Mus musculus: one gene and its partner. Each later gene encodes a partner of the first gene's protein in a complex. Links are inferred from orthologs where the notes say so. Each region holds a gene or a part of one and is shown in the gene's direction. Other genes may lie near its edges.

What was found. Proteins that work in one complex are often made in the same cells at the same time.
Region 2: the proteins of Gnai1 (region 1) and Gpr88 are in contact, whole or in part, in a cryo-EM structure (PDB 7EJX), measured with the Homo sapiens proteins. The link is inferred for Mus musculus from reciprocal best matches to the Homo sapiens genes GNAI1 and GPR88. Residues at the interface, in NP_002060.4 of Homo sapiens: Arg24, Glu28, Ala31, Arg32, Tyr320, Asp337, Ala338, Thr340, Asp341, Ile344, Asn347, Leu348, Lys349, Asp350, Cys351, Gly352, Leu353, Phe354; in NP_071332.2 of Homo sapiens: Ser66, Arg138, Leu141, Ile142, Pro146, Ala147, Gln150, Gln154, Ile215, Arg218, Val219, Ser222, Val223, Arg225, Val226, Ser285, Val286, Tyr336, Arg339, Asn340.

The regions. Positions count from the first base shown.
Region 1 is NC_000071.6:18,355,202-18,365,288, reverse strand, and holds the start of Gnai1 (guanine nucleotide-binding protein G(i) subunit alpha-1), read left to right. Parts: upstream 1-4,875; 5' UTR 4,876-5,119; coding exon 5,120-5,237; intron 5,238-10,087. UniProt on the Homo sapiens protein: Guanine nucleotide-binding proteins (G proteins) function as transducers downstream of G protein-coupled receptors (GPCRs) in numerous signaling cascades.
Region 2 is NC_000069.6:116,246,801-116,257,158, reverse strand, and holds Gpr88 (probable G-protein coupled receptor 88), read left to right. Parts: upstream 1-3,674; 5' UTR 3,675-4,045; intron 4,046-4,426; 5' UTR 4,427-4,498; coding exon 4,499-5,653; 3' UTR 5,654-7,505; downstream 7,506-10,358. UniProt on the Homo sapiens protein: Orphan G protein-coupled receptor implicated in a large repertoire of behavioral responses that engage motor activities, spatial learning, and emotional processing. May play a role in the regulation of cognitive and motor function.

The DNA.
Region 1 (10,087 bases):
CCGAACTCAGAAATCTGCCTGCCTCTGCCTCCCAAGTGCTGGGCTTAAACGCATGTGCCACCACAGCCCAGCTCCTCCACTCCACTTTTGACAGTGTGCTTTCTCTATACATGTTCCAGATAACATTTTAAAAATAACATATCATGCTCAATTTACTACTTATTTATTTGTTTGTTTGTTTGTTTGTTTGTTTATTCTGAAACCTCTCCCTCCTCCTCCTATGCCTCCTATGGACCTCGGGAATGACCACCTTCAGCAGGAAATTAAATCTCCCAAATAGATTTCAGTCTGAGGAAATGAAAATTGTCCCAATAATTCTGAGTCACTCAAGATGCCTTCACATTCACATGCACTCAGAGATTATCCTGCAGCTTAATGATAGTGTCTCATATTCTCTGTAACCTCTATTTATAAATCCCATTCATCGTGCCACTGTCCATGAATTTTCTTCAGGGAGACTAAACATTGCCGTGGAGCAAGGTCCATCATTAAAATGAAGCTACTCAACACCAAAGATGCTTTCAGTGACTCCAAGCTGGCATGGATAGGTAGTAGTATGCCTCAACCAGAGAGGATGCCGGCCCAGTTTCTACGTCATGGTGTTGGGAAGATGTTCCAGCTTAGTTCATGTAATCAAGACACACCCACCCACACAGGAATGTCTAAAGGTCTCTTTCCTAGGTGAGTCCAGGTTTTGTTGTGGTGACCAGTGGTTCTAACCACCACATCCTTTATATTAATTCAACAGTCCTGCACCCAACCCACACCCTACCCCATCCCACTCCACCCCAAAATCTTCACTTAAAAGCTCACATGACCTCTAATAAGAATGGTTTCAGCTTGGGATCTGTAAAGCAAATTGAAAGCAAAGGCCAGGCTACCCCACCTATATTTCGAAATATTCCCAGCTAGTCCCCAAACCAAATTCTTTTGATTTCCTAAACAGGAGCTTTAACCAATGCAGTTAATGGAGTGGGGTTCATAAGCCAAGTGTGTTCACCCTATATCCAATGATAAACACTATCCTTCTGATCTGTCACTCACTCCTTGGTCCCCAGAGGTATCTTGGCTCCATCTCTTCTGAGTTTCTTCTCGCATACTAATTTACTCCAACCTCAAACCAACATCTCGGGTAACTTTTGTTTGTACTTGTAAGGGTATTATGAACAGAGAAATTGTTTCTGGAGTACTGCAGTCTCAGTTTAGACTCAAATGGGACCAGGCCATTTGATGACTGAGAACTGTAGAATCTTCAAAGCTGATATAGGTCTAGAGTGCTCAAATAGATGTTTACATCTTAGACTATGATGAATAAGCAGGAACTGTGCACCTCTTTCCCTCACTCCAAGGAAGTTTTGTTGGCTGTAGCATTCTTTTTGTATTTCTACCTCTACAACCCAAAGTCACTTGGCCTCTGATTTATGACATATCCTCATTCGTTTGAAAATAATGGTCAGCTCAAATGTTTCTTCTCATTCCTACATTAAATACCCACAATTTTCCCCCAAGATATTTTATAACATAGTTTAGTGTAGGCTGAGATTTTTCAAAACCTACATTTAATAAGGATCCTCAAATGGTTCAAACCTCCACTTCTAGCCCACCATCCAAAGGTAGAGGAGAAAAGATGGTAAATAGGACAAGGAGATGTGGATCTGTTTAGAAGTAGTTCTTTGGGGAAATTCCAATCTCCTTTTGTCAGAATACCAGCAATCCAGTTCAGTAGTCTCAGGATACCAAACATGAATCAGCAGACGTGGAACCATCCAGCAGAAACTGCTAGGCTTCCAAATCAGCATGGATCAGTGGGAGTGACTAGGATCATCCAGGACACCAGGAAAAGTTCTCTGCTATCCCTCTCTCAATGAAGCAAAAATCAATGAAGACTTGAGACTAAGTGTTGCAAAGCTAGCTACGCAAGCACACTGTCACTGTCTGTTGAGTTCTATTTATACTCTCTCCAAACATCACATATCCTCCCATGAGTCCTGCCTCAGCAAAACAACACGTGAGTCTGCATCACCTGACATATCCAGAAACTTCCATTTCAGTTTAGAGCTATTTCAAACCCTGATGCTTTTTAGTTAATTATGTCCCAATTTGTTTCTTGATGTGTGTGTCTATCTTAGCACATGAGACTCAGCATCATTTAGCAATAGAAAGAAGTAACATTCAAAACCAATAGTAATATGGTAAATCAAAGGAGTCAGTTATAAAAGGCTAGATATTATATGGTTCTTTTTGTTTATGTAAATGTCTAGATTAGGCAAAAGAAGAAAAATGAGATTAGTGATTTTCTAGGGCTGGAAGAATAGACTGGATTAGGGGGAATGGCTAAAGGATATGGGGTTTCTTGGTGGGGCACAAAACATTTCACAAATGGTGTGGTTGTAGAACTCTGTCTCTACTAAGAGCCACTGAACTGAACATTTCAAATTGATAGGTGTTATGGAATTAGTATAGCTGTTAAAACAATCACGAATTTCTGAAGGGAAACGTGTGTTCAGACGTAGGTTTTTAACCTCTGTAATTTCGATTTTACTCTTTCACGTACTCTATAGTAGATGATTTCGTAATGGTTGTTCCAACTCCTTGATAATGTTGCTGAGTCATATTTTGCAAAATCATAATTATGTATATTACTAGTGTGAGTGATGGTTACCATCTCATATCTGAATTACCAATGTCATTCACTTATTAGTATAGTAAGTAACTCATTTGTTTTCATCTAATGCAGAGATTTTTCCTTTTATATCTCTATTACCTAACTCAGAAGAATGTACGCACACTTAGCACTCACTGTAACAAGTCCAACTATTTACCTCAATATTTATAGTTCTTTTTAAACTTTCATTTTAAAAGTTCATTCCATTCATTTCAGTCATCACAGCAAACTTCATTTCAATCATAAAATATTGGCCATCTTCTGTTCACACTTTGCCTATTAATCTTTTAGTTAGATATTCATATGAAACAAAATATTCCCTAGTCTGGACTGAATGCTTATGTCTCCTCAGTACCCTTCGGCTGAAGCCCTAACACCCTGGTCTGGAAGGCAGAGCCCTTGGGAAGTACATAGAGATGGAATCCTGAACGTGGCGGGCCAATATCAGTATGAGAAGAAAGAATTCTCTTCTCTCATCCCTGGTCCTCTTTCCTCAAGAAAACCCTCACTGGAGAGAGAGCTGGATCCATTGGCCCTTTAATCTTAGATTTCCAGACTTGAGAAATAAATGCCTGCTGTTGAAGTCATGTGATCACCATACTTTGCTATGGCAACCAGTTCAGGGCTCCAGTGCTCAGTTCCCTGCCCACCAGCTTCCCTGGAGAGTTCTTCCAACATCCTCTCAGAAGTGAGGATTATTTCCTCATGTCCTTGACGAGCTTTTCAAAGGGAAGGGGCAATTCATATAAGTCTTTGACAATTCCTATACAAGGTGTGCAGCTTCACCATGCCTCAGTCCTGTTTCCCTTTTGGCTGGCCCCACACTTATCTGGCCTGAACCGTGGAGGAAGGACAGTCAACTGATGGCTGCAAATGGCCCAGTCACATTAGATTTCATTAATTCTGGAATTCTTGATGAACTTTTGGAGTGTCAGGAAACACAAAGGAGGTAGAAGGTGACCGAGTACCCTAAAAGTGTGCGGGTTTTGTTCTATTTTGAAAGAATCCAACAAAAAGCGGAGGGAGTTCTTAAGATTGCTTATCTTGTGCCCCGCAGGTGTGACTCTAACAAAACGGAAACCTATAAGCTCTGCTTGCTCTGAGGGACCCAACCTGAAGCTAAATATTCAAATGGGAGCCAGAGACTAATTGCCTAATTTTTATCTCGTCGAGGAATGTATTTTCTTTGCTAGTGGCTTCATCATCTAATTCATCAACATTTCTCCTATAATCAGCAGTGCAACTGACAGGAGAGTCCAACCTTCCACCTATGCTCCTCCCCTCACGCTGGATGAAAAGCCATCTAGTCCTTGGCCTGCCCCTGGAAAGATGGACTGTAGTGTAGATCAACAGCTCATTTAAAAGCAAGGAAGCTAAGGCCTACAAAAAGAAATGCCATGCCTACTGGCACAGGAGTTACAACAGAGCCATAAACCATGGGTAGGCAGCTTGGCAAGACACTTACAAGTGCCCTAAAGGCGATCCATTACCACAGAGGCCGCAGACTTGTTTGTGTGTTTTACTGCTCACGCCATTTTAAAACAATTCTTTGATTCTTTGTCAAACGTTTCTGTCGGATTAGGAAGAAATTCCTTAGAAATGTGTTCCCTTATGAAAAGGGAGGTGAGCATAGATCAAAGGGAGAGCCAGAGGAAAAGAGAAAAGGCAAGGGAGGAAGTGAGCATTGGCAACCCCAAGACCCCAATTCCCGCTTGGTTGCTCCCCACTTCGGGTTTCGCAGGGCTCCATTTCTCGCTCATTTCGCTCTATTTCCCACGGTTCTTTACCTAAGCCTACACATTTTGTAAACCCTTGGGTGGCTGCAGGCTCCGGGCATGCTCAAATGCCCTGGACTGCCTTTCCTCACCCCTTGCTCGCAACTTTGGCAAGCGTCCCACTCGCGCTCTTAAGGGGCAGGTACCCACGGATCCCCCGCAGTGGTCTCCAAAGCGTGGGAGGGGGTTAGTGAGCTCCCAGGCGGAGCTGGAGAAGTCAGCGGCCGCACGGGGCACCTCGTGGGGGGACCTGCAGGAAAAGCTGGGCTCGGCGATCACGCGGGCGCGCGGCGGTCGGAGGGGGCGCTGTCCGACGGCACGTGCGCGGGCGGGCGTGAGCGCGCGCTGGGAGTGGTCGCGGGGCGGGCAGGGGCGGGGCCGCGGCGGCGCGCGGACGCCGAGCTCGCTCGGGCTGTGCGCGGCTGCGGCTCGGCCACGGGCAGCTGCGGTGGCGGCGGCGGCGGCGGCGGCGGCAGAGCCTAGCGGTCGCAGGGATTCGCGGGCGCGGATCGCGGAGTGTCGCCGGCAGGGACGGCCGCCCGAGGCGGCAGCGTGCGGACTAGCAGACCTCGCCTCCAGCTTGCGGGAGCTGAGGACGTAGCGGGGCCGCCTCCGGGCCAGCCTCTCCTCGCTCTGCCAGCCGGCCCCGGCGCCGAGGGCGCGGCGACGCTCGGCCACCATGGGCTGCACATTGAGCGCTGAGGACAAGGCGGCCGTGGAGCGCAGCAAGATGATCGACCGCAACCTCCGGGAGGACGGCGAGAAGGCGGCGCGGGAGGTCAAGCTGCTGCTGCTGGGTGAGCGCGGCCGTGGGGACGGGGCCCGGGCCGGGGGACAGCGGTGAGCGAGCGCGGCATCCCAGTCCCTCAACAGCGCAGGCGGCTTCTTGGCCGCGGCGGTGACTGTCGCGCGACCTCACTGGCAGCCCAGAGTGTGGCGGGGCGGCGGGACGCGTGGGAATCCGATCTTTGAAGTTGAGCTTTGCCCTCCCTAGATGAGGGACAATTCGGGACCACAAAGCCAAGCACCCCCTCTCCACGGAAACCCGGTGGTGAGAGGTGTCGTGCCGCGTTGCGCTTTGCCCACGCCTGGAAAGTGCCACGTTGGGTGGCCTCGGGGCTCTCTTTGTGGGTCCTCTTCCTCTGCGGGGTCTCAGTGATCTTCCTGTCAACTTCATATGGCGACTCAGTGAGTGGAAAAGAGCGCTGAGATTTTCCCTGCGTAAGGACTTGAGCTGCTCTGGAAGCTGGATTTTGCCTGGGTGGGGGATGGAAACCACCAAAGTTGGCTTACGTTTGCTCTCATAGTAGGAAGGGAAAGAGGCTTCGCGGGTGAAAACAGCCCTGACAGGTGCGAAAGGCTCCTCGACCACAGGGTCGTTCCTCCACTGCGGTGTTCGCTCCAGTGAGGTTTGACAGCTGCACACCATGCTTTCTTTCTTCATTCTTAACACTGTTTTGCTAATAGGCGACGTGAAGGTCTTTCTTCCAGTTTTTTTGAACGGAGGAAAAAAAAAAAAGAGTAGATCCGGATTTTGATTGAGCGATATAAGGAAAATATTCACAGGTTATGGTTTTTTTAGATCTGTGAGTCAGGGTTTTTCCTTTTGTTTGTTTTTCTCCCACACTGTAGGTATTTAGGCAGATGATAGATTTCTTAGAATCTTCGTTTGCACTTCCAGCGATTTGCTTGTGTTCTTCTCACAGTTGTGATAAAAGAGAAACATCGCTGCACAGATCTGCTTTTTAGTAAGCTCCCGTTTCATTGGTTTAACGACTGCAGAAAGATGGTGGTTATTTCCTTCTTTCTCCATTACTAGTAGGCTTAGAAGAAGCAAACTTGGCATGACTAAAAGTAATAATGATCTGAGTCATTTTGCAAGCAAACTGTGAAATAACTTTGCATTTTAAAGACCTGGGTGGTGTTTTTCACCCATCACAGCCTCCCCATAAATCTTTCTCTGTAAATAGGATTGACTGAGTTTTTATATTAAAAAGATACTGTCTTTCCATGAGATCGGCGTGTTTTTAGAATATTAGCCACAGAACCATGTAACTTACAATAAACATAAAATAAAGGGATTAGACAGTTCTTTCTCTGTGGCTTCAGAGCACCTGCTTGGAAGGTCTCCTTGGTTGTAATACTGTTCTCAGTTGGAGCTACCATCCACCACATTTAAAGCAGTTGTAAAATGAGCCCTCCCAGTGATAGTGGCAGCTTATCTTTTAATTAGACACCTATGAAAGATTTGAAAAATGGAATTTTTGCAAGCTTCAGAATGCAAGGTATCTCTTTTTATCACTGTTGACGATTTGAAGTTGATAATTCTTTGTTGTTCTCTGTGTGTGTGGAGGTATCCTGTGTGCTGTTGGATGTTTAGCAATGAAGTTGACCTCCACCCATTAGATGCTAATTGCTGCTCACCCTTTCTAATCTCCTAAAATGTTGCCAAACGCCCCCTGGAGGCAGAAATGTAACCTCTGCGGAGAACCACTGTTTTAGATTAATAATTAAATATAGTTGAGTGTGTAACATGCAGCTGAAGTTGATCTCTCTTACCATCTGTGGGGAGTTAATGAGAGATGTACCAGAGTCCTGATTTTCAGAAGAAATTATACAGTTCTTATTCCTCCAAACCAGTGCATGAGAAGGATTCTAAAGTTATAAACAAGCAAACAAAGAAACAGTGAAGGAATTCCTTTAAGTGTTGTTTCTAGCTTTGAGGTTTTGCTTTCATCTACAACTGTATTTTCTGTCGAGAATTCCAGCCCACCCCTGTCTTCCTGTGCACCACTTCATCCGACACCCTAGTTCCCATTTAAGAGAAAAAAAAAATCCTTGTGTACTTATTTCGCAAATCTTAATTCTTGTAATAGTTGAAAATTTTTTCCCCAAGTCAGACTTAGCAGTGAACTATGACCTTTAGTCCAAATTTGGATGTTTAAGGCTGTGTGCAAGTAACTCTATGGTGTCATCCACCTAACTCATGGTAGCTGGTCAACTGAGATGTAAAGTGGTATCTAAGTAACCCAGCAATACCACCTGGACTCCTAGGAGGGTGTCTTCATCTTCATCTTCATCTGTTTAGTTTTGCTTCTCAATAATTTACTTAAAGATACAGCATAAAAACATTTAAAACAGTCTATTTAGAACATTGCATTTTTTGCATGAAATAATGCATTGTTTTAAATATCTGAAGTGAGAGACTCTTGCATAAGATTTGCAAATAATTAGTAACTATTTGGGTGCTGGGTGTGTAGTATTTACTATTTGAATCATAGGTGTTTCCCTGTTCCCTAAGTCCAGAGATTCAAGCCTGCACCAATAGAGAGGACCAAATCTTGTCTTCTGACCTGAAGGGGATCAGGCTGCACTTTTGGTCACTTAAGTATTTCAGTTTAGTTTCCAGCTTTCAGTATATGAATCAGTTAAGATGCTTACATGATCCATGCAGATATTTAGCACTCTTTCCACTGTGTATGGATAACTGTTCCAGAGGAAAATACCTTTTACTATTACATCTTTGAGAATTCATGATTCTAAGGTCAGTAGAATTACAATTAGGACATTGTTCAGTTAGACTATGTTGGACTCCTGTCATTTATTAAATTGCATTTGGTGATGATTTTTTAAGATAAAAGGTACTAGCTTTAAAAAAAAAAAAGTACAGTTCTCAAGAATTCGCTGCTCAGTTGCAATCTCATTGCAAAGGTTTGAGCTGTATTTTCTTTTATTATAGCAGACGGTACTCTATACTCACTTCCGCACACAAGCAAATCACCCCCAGAAGCCGACTTCCCTCCTTAGCATAGCATACTGTTATAGTTATAGGCTTGGGGTGGGGGTGGGGAGTCGGGTGGGGACTTTTAAGTTTTCTGCTGACGGGCATTTTCTGTTGCCCTTCAATCAGCAGTCCTTCCACTGCCTTTGGACACATACTATGACTTGTGTAGTTGAGGAATTCTTGCTTTATCAGGTTTCCATTTTTCATTGCTTTAGCCATTTCCCAGAGCCTTAGTTATCAGAGAGGCAACATGTTCCCTTGGACGAGTCGACATGCCATTTCCCCCTGGGTTGTGTGCTTCTGTGTCCCTGTCTATTTGTGTTAGTAGTTATTCTAGTTGGAGCTACTGGTTGTGTCATTGTGTGCTTTGCATATGTGGAGTTTCTCTTGAATCCACTTCCCGTCCTCCCACTTCTAGCTCCAGGCTCCCTCTGCCTCACAGCCTCCTTGCTGAAGATTTCTCTGCTTCTTCTTGGCCTTTTCCCTTTGCCTCTCTTTCCTCTCGTGCTGTGTGTCAGAAACCGTTCTTGCCTTCTCCATTGCATGCCGAATGAACATCTGTTTTAGACCCGGCTCCTCTCCGCCAGCATCTCAGCGTTTCCAACAGGAGCAGTTAACAGGGATTAAGAATATGTGCGGTTGATGTCTAGTGTTTGGTCTTCTTGACTGCCTGAGTCCAACTTCTGTGAACACACCAGGGGACAAAGTCCTTATGTTTTCTCTGTGTTCCACACTTTCTTTACAGGCCTTTTACTTTGTCATGTGTAAATGTGTGCTAAATTATGTAAAAATATGCCAGAATATATTCTTCATAATTTCCCACTGTCTGTAGGAACAAATAGCAGCCAAACAGCGTTAAAGAAAAAGGACTAGTAAAAATGTGAAAGGACCAAAATGAAGGAATGATACCTAAAATCAAACAGAGTGCTTTCCCACACCAAGCTTATTCTTAGATAACTCTAGTAATCGTTAAAGTGACAGTGCGTTTTGTTGTAGTGGGGTCTACTGTTTGCAGTGTCCTAATGATCCGAGGGCATTTTACTCTTGTTTTTGGTACACGTAGGTCCTCTGCTCAAGTGTTTAGACCATGATATTTGTGGAATGTATCACGGACAGAAGCTATAATGCCTGCCTTATAGGATTTAGTGAACGGCTTCAGAAACAGAAGAGTTATCGTCTAGAGTTTGGGGGGAAATGTTGGTAAAACTTGAAAATATGTATTGTAAGCTTTTGAACCCAGCCACAATCTTAATTTTTCTTTTGTTATTTGTTCTCATTGCCTTGGGACATCTAAGATCAACACATTCATGCAAGGCAAACGAAGTGTGTTGGTCACATTCTTAGGTCACATATTTCTTGGTCACATGTTTTGCCATGCATTTCCCCAGAGGGTGATTCCCTAGGGTCAGGCACTGGTGAGCTCCAGATCTCCGATGGCATTTGAGCCTATGAACGAAGGGCCACCGAGCCTTATCTTGTAGTACTCAGGCTATCTTTTATAATAGTTTGTTAAATGATGGTTAGAAATCTTAATACAGCTAGGAGGAAACAGTTTTAAAACCAGCATTCATTGGCTTATATTAAGTGGCTTCAAATTAAAGAATATTTGATATGGGGCTCTGGAGGGCAGATTTCCCAAACAGGTTTCCGGTGGGTTAAGACGGTAGGTAGGTGAAAGTCCCGAGTCAAGCCCCATCCCTAGAACCTGTGAAAAAGGAAGTCTGTTGTGGAGGTTCTCGGGATTGCTCTGTTCCCTGGCATTCCTCACATGCTCTAGAGCAGTGGCCCTCCACCTTGCCACTGTATGACCCTTTAATATGGTTTCTCATGTTGCAGTGACCCCCCAGCCTCGTCCCGAACCAT
Region 2 (10,358 bases), on another chromosome or scaffold:
TGAATAAACTCTTTGGAAAACAGCTTACTCCAATGAACATTGCAGTCTGTAGTCCAACTTCCCAACAATGGTGAGCAGCAGCAGCGAATGGAAGTCCAAGGATCTAGCAGTTGCTCAGTCCCACAAGGCAATTGGGCAAAGAGATTGCAGAAGAGAGCGCAGAAGTTTCCTTTAAGCTATGATTTTATTATAACCCCAAACAAAAGAAAACATAAAAATTAAAATATGAATATATAAACTGTTTGATACAAAAAAGAAAACAAAAATTAAAATATGAGTATTTTAATGTAAAAATGTAATAATTGTAACCCATTATATCAACATGTAATGGAAAAAAATCATCATTTCATATAAAACCTCTGAGTAGGCTTGGGCAGAAATGCTCGTGGCTCTAAAGCACTAAATCAGAAAGCTACAGTTGCGGGCATATTTGGATAGAATTCTTAGGAACTCCGAGGGAACGGTATTCATGAAATTGGTGACTAGAGGACAGAAATGAGGAGGGAGTTTAGCTAGAGGGTCTGGGTAGAAGGAAGGGTGGAAGAGAAGCAGGTGGTGGCCTGTGCCTGAGAGTGAGAACCTAGGATAAGACCTGGGTAATTAGCCAGAAAAAAGGGCGAGAGGAGAATGGAGAACAGAGCATCTGGCACATAAGGAACCCATGACACTTGAGTGTTGTGGGCGAGTCCAAGGGAGCAGGGGGGCAACAGGAGAATAATGAGCAGGTGGTAGGTTCCCCGGTTCATTAATTAGAGGCTGCTGTTGACCTTAGCCGAAGCTGTGCTGAGAACTGAGGGCTGTGTGGGTGGACACTCAGTGGGAGAACAGGAAACCGAAGCAGAAAATAGGTGCTTCCACTACAAAAGGGAAGTGAGCTGTACTGTGCCACCCTGAGAAGGAAACGAAGTCCAGGGGAGGTTTCAGTGGGTTGTGGTGAACCCCCAGGGATGCTGAGAATACAGCAGACAGGGAGATAAATGGACAAGCTCCTCTGGAGGAATTAGGAAAGGGACCAATAGGAAATGTTTCCCTAGGAGAAAAAATAAATTCCCAATGGTCATTATTCATTAATCCAAAGAGCATTTAAGAAGGATCTACCATGTACCAGGCGATGTGCTGTGAATCAGAAAAAAAAAAAAAAAAAAACAAAAAAAAAAAACCAAAAAACAAAAAACCACTCCTTCTACATTGTATTACTTAAGTCCAGTGACCTAAAACAAAAGTGAATCTAAATGAAAAAACAAACAAACAAAACAAAACAAAACAAAACCCAGACAAGACTTTGGCCTTCCAGGCTTAGGCTAAATCAAGGAGTTCTGCCTTTGGCAGAAATAAGGCTTCATGGGAAGGAGTCCCTGAGATGGGTCCTTACGACTTATTCCAGAGACCCAGACCCTGGAATTTGAACACAGAATCCCGTTACGACGGAGGTAATGCAACTTTAAGTGTGGTGACATGCTTGCGCTACAGCTGATCCGGGAGGAGGTTCTTGCAACCCTGCTGTGTTTGAGGTGTTCAAGCCTTTAATGCAGAAGACTGTAGGAGAGGATGGGACAACCGTTCCAGGCTACCAATAGGCTGGACATTCGAACCTTTGCCCCAGAAAGACCAAACTACGGCTTCTCTTTCAGTTCTTCCTCTTTCTACTGAAATCCAGCCTGATCTAGTTAAATCCATCAGAGCCTGCTTGCTGGCATCACCAGAGTTCTTCACAGTCATCAACATGACTGGTTTTATTTATTTATTTTTTAAAAAATCAGATTTGAAAAGGAATAGTAAGGGGAGGTATATTCCTCTTTCCCTTCTGAAATAAATCCTCAAGGTTGGACTGGGAGAGGTTCATGACTCATGGCCAGGGACCTCACTCCATGTGAACGAAGGAGGTCTGTACCAAGCAGTGCCAGAGAGGAGACAGGTTAAATGTGTGAACAGGGATTTAGAAAAAGTCCAGAAGGAAAGGGCCTTTGACATCACTGAGTGGACGCTTCTTGCTAGCAAGGCAGGAATAATCTGCCAAGGCTAACTGAAGGATGCCTTTCTTAGAATTCAGGACACCTGGAACTCCACACACCAGTCTTCTCTTTTATGTTAAATTTGTAAGTAAACAACCTTTGGTTGTTGTTGTTGGGGTGTTGGGTGTACCTTTCGGGGAGAAGTTCCCAAGTGCACAGGGAAACCAACACTTGTACCAAAGCAGATTTGAGTCCTGAGTGTGAGTCTCCATGACATCCCATATCATGAAAAGCTCAGAGGTCCTTCTCATTCATCCTATGGAGTCTTCAGGGAAATTGCTTTTCCCCAACACCCACTATTCAAAAATAGGCTTTAAACTTTAGTTTAATAATCACAGCAGGCCTGAATAAAAGTTGCTGAGTGTGTTCTGGGGACAGGGTGCAGTAAAGTGCCTGACAAACAAGTATCAGTCCTGAGTTCAGATCCAAAGTGCGCACATAAAAAGCCAGGCATGGTGGCACATATCAGTAATCCCAGCTCTGGGAGAGCAGGAACAGAAGATTCTTGGAGATCAGTGGCCAGCCAGCCTAGCAAAAGCCGTGCAGGTTCAGAGAGAAAGAGAGAGAGAGAGAGAGAGAGAGAGAGAGAGAGAGAGAGAGAGAGAGGAAGAAGGAGGAGGAGGAGGAGAGGGATCACCACACAGTTCCTACTCAGCACACACACAACTTCCCAGTTGTCATATCTTCCATTACATTGGCTCATTTGTCACAATCGATGAAGCATCCTGACACGTTTACATTGACCCCATAATTTACACACAGGTTCTCTGGGTGTTTATCTAGTAGGTTTGGACAAACGTACAGTGATGTTTTCCACCATCAGAGTACCATCCAGAGTAGTTTCCCTGCCCTGTATTCCACCTCCCGGTCCCTAGCCCCCCCCCCCCCCCTCCCGACAGCTGGTGGTCCCTGCAGTTTTACGTTTCCCAGTATGGAATACAGTTGGGCTTGGGCAGTGCGCAGCCTTTTCAGATGCTTCTTTTGCTTAATAACAAGCATTTCCGGTTTCCTTAGGTGTTTTATGTCTTGACAGATGATTCCTCTTCATTGCTAACTGGTGTTCCATTGTCTAGCTGGACGATGGACTCCATCTTTAGATCGCCTGACTATGGTACTCACACTTCTCTCATCCCGCCGAAACACAAGCCAAGAGGAGAGGTGTCTAGCGATGGGAAAAGGAATTGAAATTATGATTTGAGCTAAGGCTCGCATATTTTCTGTAGCTAATTACTCATGTCCCACTTTGCCAAGGGTGTGTGTGTGTGTGTGTGTGTGTGTGTGTGTGTGTATGTGGCTGAATTTCAATTCAAATGTAAGGTAATTTTCTCTGAAATTGTACTGGGGTATATTTATCTCTGAGAAAAGAAGTCTTACCTCCAGGATGATTCAGATGGAGATGAAATTTTACTCTAACATTTAAAGGAGAGGAAAAAAAGGAAGGAAAGAAAAAAAAATCAGGCAGAGTGAAAAATGAGACAGAATGGAGAGAGAGAGAGAGAGAGAGAGAGAGAGAGAGAGAGAGAGAGAGATTTGTTAACCACAGGATTCTCTGAAAAAGGTATTTTTCTCTTTTACAAGTTAGCAGTTACTGAATAATTCATGAAGCAGGGAAAGGCTGTCTTCTCCCTGGGTGATGGATAACTGAGCAGGAGAGGCTCCAAGTGGGTTTGCCACATCAGCCAGCGCTCTTGCTTGGAGCACAGGGTGCGCTCCTCTCCAGCTCAGTTTCTTCTGCTCTTGTAGCCAGGCATCTTCGCTGCTGCTGCCTGCCTGCCCACCCTTCTGGGCTTGCAGCCTACCGCTTGACTTTCTCCAATTCTACTGCCAGCTGAGGAGACTCCCCACAGCTGTTGGCTCCTGCCTGGGACCATGTGTGGGGATGCTGCACGGGAGAAGCAAGGCGCTTGCTCCTGGCACGGGTCCCAGCTCAGTTTCTCCTGTTGACTTCTGGACCACAGATGCTGCTGCCGAGGAGGTATTTCCTGGCATCTCTCCCTCTGCTATCACCAGCTAAGGACTGGCCCCAAATCAAGGTACCTCTACTCCCTCTCTTTGGCGTTTTTCCCAGCTAGGAGATATCTACTTTCTCTCGGTAAAGAGAGCTCCGGCTGGCAACACACATTCCCAACTCGTGTGTGTGTGTGTGTGTGTGTGTGTGTGTGTGTGTGTGTGTGTGTTTGGGGAAACTGTCCTAGGTGTGGATATGACCTTAGGGCTTCCCTGCTGCTTGCTGAGTGTAAAGCGGACCTTCTCTGTCATCGGAGACATTTCTGAGGCAGGCACCTGTCATCTGCCACCCCCGTTCTCCTGTTCTTTTTCACCTCCCTCCCTTCTCCCCCTCCTCCAGCCCATTATTCGGCTTCAGCCTTTTGTGTCGGTGACAGCGGGCTGAAGAAATGTTTTTGCCCTCCCAGCAGGCAAGTGCCAGGATGGGCCACGCTACACGAAGCCAACGCTAGGGCGCGAGGTGTGAAGAGTTGGCCAGAATGACCAACTCCTCCTCCACTTCGACCTCCACCACTACCGGGGGATCGCTGCTGCTGCTCTGCGAGGAAGAAGAATCGTGGGCGGGCCGGCGGATCCCGGTGTCTCTCCTGTACTCGGGCCTGGCCATCGGGGGCACGCTGGCCAACGGTATGGTCATCTATCTCGTGTCGTCCTTCCGAAAGCTGCAGACCACCAGCAACGCCTTCATCGTGAATGGCTGCGCCGCGGATCTCAGCGTCTGCGCCCTCTGGATGCCACAGGAGGCGGTGCTGGGGCTCCTGCCCTCGGGCTCCGCGGAGCCCCCGGGGGACTGGGACGGTGGCGGAGGCAGCTACCGCCTGCTCCGGGGCGGGTTGTTGGGCCTCGGGCTCACTGTGTCCCTTCTGTCCCATTGCCTCGTGGCGCTGAACCGCTACCTGCTCATCACCAGGGCGCCTGCCACCTACCAGGTGCTCTACCAACGGCGCCACACGGTGGGCATGCTGGCACTGTCCTGGGCGCTCGCCTTGGGTCTGGTGCTGCTGCTCCCGCCCTGGGCTCCTAAGCCCGGAGCCGAGCCACCGCAAGTCCACTACCCCGCGCTCCTGGCGGCGGGAGCGCTGCTTGCGCAGACGGCGCTGCTGTTGCACTGCTACCTGGGCATCGTGCGCCGCGTGCGCGTCAGCGTCAAGCGGGTCAGCGTGCTCAACTTCCACCTGCTGCACCAGCTACCCGGCTGCGCCGCCGCCGCCGCCGCCTTCCCCGCCGCCCCGCACGCGCCGGGTCCGGGAGGCGCCGCGCATCCCGCGCAGCCTCAACCCCTGCCGGCCGCTCTGCAGCCTCGCCGGGCGCAGCGGCGTCTCAGCGGCTTGTCGGTGCTGCTGCTCTGCTGCGTCTTCCTGCTGGCCACGCAGCCGCTGGTGTGGGTGAGCCTGGCCAGTGGCTTCTCCCTCCCGGTGCCCTGGGGCGTGCAGGCGGCCAGCTGGCTCCTGTGCTGCGCCCTGTCGGCGCTCAACCCGCTGCTCTACACGTGGAGGAACGAGGAGTTCCGCAGATCCGTGCGATCTGTCCTGCCGGGCGTCGGGGACGCGGCTGCGGCCGCCGCGGCCGCCACCGCGGTGCCAGCCATGTCCCAGGCGCAACTGGGTACCCGGGCGGCTGGCCAGCACTGGTAACACACCTTGCTTGGAGAGGCTTCCTAAGCCACCTGCCGCACTGCCTCCTTCTTTTGTAAGCTATCCCCAGCCCCAGGGAAGATCCCAGTGGAGAACATTTTGCCTTCCTCCCCAGTGCAATACCAGAACCAAGGTCTTCCCCTAAAGGGAGTCCCAATTGTGTGCGGCCATTGACGTTTACCCTTTTGTTTCTGTGTTTTAAAGACACCCGTGGGTCCATCCAGACACTCAGACTGCAAGGACTTGTAAACTGGCATTTTTAGAGAACCAGTTAATTTATTTCAAGTTTGCTTTTGAAAAAGAGCTTTCATATCATAACGTACAACCCTTCCAACCTCCACCGTCTTATATACGAAGCGCCTTGAGTGTGTGTGTGCATGAGCCAAAGGGAATACCGTTGATGAAGAGACTGTGTGTAGATAGTATCCTAACCACACTTTCTTCTGTTAGAGTTTAGTCTTTGTATATTGACCTGGAAGAGTGAAACCACAGGTGTGTACACCGTCGTGAGTTGCCACTGAGACCTCAGGCCCTTTATTCTTAAAAGGGCTTTTTTTATTGAGTCATTTTTGAAATGAGATTGACTCTCAGCCAGTGAGGAAACAAACCAAATTTATTATTTTACTCTCCTCTCTATTTATTTCTAAGGTGGAAAGCTACCGTCGAGTGTTAAAGCGAAAAAATGTCAAGTTTTGGATTGGTCAGAAACCAGAAATGGAATTTTAAAAGCAAAAACAGGGGGAGCTATCTATTTTGGGTAGCACTTTCACATATTCTGAAGCATGCACACTTCTTGCTACCCACATTTGTAACTGATTTATTTGCCTCTGAGTGTGATTGCAGCTTTGAACATTCTGTACTATAATGGTTGCTAAGGGGAATGACTCCTGTAGTCTCTTTAAAATATCTCAATGCACATGACATAATTAAACACTAATACCATAATTGCATAGCTAATGTTAGCTGCCATTGCATGCTCCTAGATGTTAGAACTTACTGGGCATGTGGTACACAAAGCAATACCCATTAGACAAGGACATTTTACTTCTTCCAGACACCAGAAGAAAAGGTCTTTTAATCATCTGAAAAGAGATGTAGATGAACCCGTGGCTCCCTAGAGTTCTTGTCTTGACCTGGCTTATGAGAAAACTCCCATTTGGGGACTTTATCTCCCAAATGAAACCAATGGTCAGGGTGATAAAATTCAGATTGGCTCCATCAAGTTACCTGTGCGTTTTAGGGGTTAAACAAGCCACACGTTAGGAAGTAACACTGTTTTATGTTGTTCATATATATTACAAAAACATTTATTATTAGTATCATGTCTGTTGAAGATGGAATCAGGCAGACAGTTATGCAGAAGGAGAATATTTCGAATGGGACTCTGTTCTCCAATGTATCAGTTGAGGTTTGCAGTCTTCATCTTTGATTTCCTAAATGTATAGATGCATTTACAATGTACAAAAAACAAAAACAAAAACACTGAAATCGTTTTGTAAAATTAAACAGGGAAGAAAGTAACAGGAGGCCTAGACCAGTCTGTTATCCACATAAAATCTGGGGCCAAATAGCCTCAATTAACTGTGTAATTCAGGAGCAAAGACAGCTTGCTTTGTTGCACTCTTGGACCAAGAATGGTAAGAACATTTGTATTTTTGAAAAAATTGGGAGACACGGGAAACAGATATTTTATAGCAAGGCAAAATAAAATAAATATGTTTGTCACTAACAATACGTTGGCAGTCATGTCATTAACCAAACTGTGTGCATGTGTCATTTTTCTCTTACGAAGATTTCTTCTGTTTCCAGTTTCCTGGATTCAGATATTTAATTAAAGTTTCCATAATGCTTCTCTTGGCTCTATCTCTTCTTTCTTGGGTATCCTCTCTCTGTCTCTGTCTTAAGGATCCTGTACCCGAAGACACTGTTCCAAAACACTACAGATACAGAGCGACTCCTTTTTTGCTGGCTGTAAGTTTGTTTTCAGTTTCTAAAATGCTTTTTACTTCATATAGTTACATAAGCTCCTTACATTGGTCTGGGAAAAGAAATAGCTATGTTTTCTTTCTGTAAACATGGAGGAATGGGTCATAAAGATAACAGAGAGATGGCGATGTTCTAAAGCTCTGTCAACAAGCTCTTCTAGTTAACCATTGTCCTGGTTTCTCATGTTCCCTCTCTGTCCCAATAATGCACCACACATATATAGAGATTTGTGAATGAGACTCTGATACCTTGCCATGTTTCTGGCTAGCACTCCCAGGCTGGCACTGTGCCACATGGGAGGCCTACTTTTGATTAATTTACTAGTAATTAACTCCACAGGACTGTCTCCTTTTAGTTTTAAAGTAGCACTGAAGCATCTAAAAATGCCTGCCTAGGCGCTGCCTGCAAGTGTTGGAGTTACTGCTTTGACAAATTAAATTAATGGAGATTGTGTTCTTATTTAAATGAAACCACATATTATCCACTCAGGAATTTATATATATATATATATCCTAACTGCTATCCTGGGCTGTCCTAATTTACTTTTGTGCTTCTTTTTCTTTCCGTGCATGCCTATTAAGCTGTATAACATCTGCCTCCCTTCTAAATGCATTTCAAGGGCTAAATTCCAGGACAGAATAGGCCCTAACCCCACATTTTCTTCCTTCCACAATGAAGAGCATTAACAAAGAAGAATTCTGCTTGGTACAGGGACATTTGCAGGTGGTATTTCAGGTCAGGTAAATTTCTCTTTGTCTCAGAATCACAGAGAAAAGATTTCCACACTGGGATATTTTCCTTTTCAGAGGGACCCAGCAGAGGATGTCATGCAGAAGAGGAAGGGCAAAGATACTTTCTTTGAATCACTGATAAGGAAAGTTGTTGAAAAGATCTACTTGCCAATAGGGAGTTGGTCTTGTTTGAATTCTCAGTGGAGGACAACCTTGTCCCACTGATGATGACTGCACTAGCTGACGTGTCCCCTTTATTGCAGAGTCTAGAGGTTCAGATGATGGTTGCCCCACCCTCCTCTAAGGCAATCTTAGTGACTGACAAGTTCACAACATGATTCTGCATCAAAGAACATGGAGGAGCTGGGGCAATGGCTCAGCCAGTAAAGTGCTTGCTGTAGAGGCCTGAGGACCCGAGGTCAGATCCTTACAATGCATTTAAAAAGCCAAGCATGGCATGCCATGTCTGTAATCCCAGGGCTGGGAAGGCAGAGACAGATGGAGATGCTGGAACTTGCTGGCTACCCACTTTAACTAATGGGCAAGTTCCAGATTCCAGTGAGAGGATTTACCTCAGAAAATAAAGTGGGAAATAATTGAAAAAGATCCTTGATAGCAGCTTTTGGTTTCTACATGCGCACAGATATTTGACTCACATGAGCTAGAGCTCTTGGTCTATGGGAAGGCGACCTTTCCTTCCTTGGTATTTGACCTTAAGGAACCTCATGCAAATGTGTGTCATTTAGCTCACAGCTCACAGTTCTGCCTGCATTCCTGTCTCAGCCAGATACCTTGTCACAGCTGGCATCTAGTGGTGAACCTATAGGGCCCAGAACATTCCCTGGAAGTGATCTTTGGCTCCTTGGGCAGGAAACTCCTGGGTTCCAGGCCCTGGCATCTGTTGATAGAGATAGAAGTTCCTGACTGCCATATGTCCTTGTGGGATGGGGGAAGGAGGATGGAAGCCCTGCCTTTTAAGTGCCAGACCTAGTTGGAGTCCCAGTTTCGCTAAGTGCAATTGTGCTTTCAGTATTCATTTCTAGGTCCTGTCAGGGCAGCCTTGCAGAGCCTGTCCCACCTATAGGGCCTCCTTACTAGAGCCTCACACTGAGATTCCAGATGCTTCAGAAGGCCTGATGCACAGTTGAAGGTAAGGGAAAGACTGCAGTGGAAGCAGATGTTGGAGACAGATGTCTGGAAGAAGGATGTGATGGTACACGGGATGCCCTGCCCGTTCAGCTGTGCACCTTTGGAATTTTCACAAGGACACATGCCTTAAAAAAATTTTTTTTAGCGAAAGCTAAATAAATAACAAAAAGAAAAAGAGAAGGAACAGTGTAGAAATGAAAGAAGCCAAAGCCTGAGATGCCACGAGGTTAATTACATGCATCTGGACTGAAAGGCAGGTCTGACTCTGGACCATGACACTGTAGCTAGTATTATGAAAGTAACAATCAAAACTCTACACAAATCCTGGAGTCCCCTTCACAATGTGACCATTCCTTAAGCTGTCTTCCTGACTCAGATCCCTTGGTACAGCCCTGTTGTCTGCATACTAGCTGTTATCATAGACCAGCTTCATGCCAACCTCAGATCATCCAAGGGCTTTACTGTGCTAGTCTAGCTTTTTACACTGAGAAAGCTCGTTCACTGTCTTCCTGCTCACCCTGTCTTCTCTGACCTGGCCTTGGGCTTCTTCTCTACGTGTACAACCTTAGTCTTACATATTCCATTGTTATGATATCTCTTTTTAAATGTATGTGTGTATGTCTGTGCATATGTTAGTGTATGTTTGTGTGATACACACAAAAACATGCATAGATACACACACACACACACACACACACACAGAAAGAGAGAGAGAGATAGACAGACAGACAGACAGACACACAGAGGATCTTAAAAACTAGATAGGAAAGCTAATTTTTCTTTCATTTATTTTTATCTATTTTGTAATAGAATTTTTTTACAACCAGTCACTGGAAGTA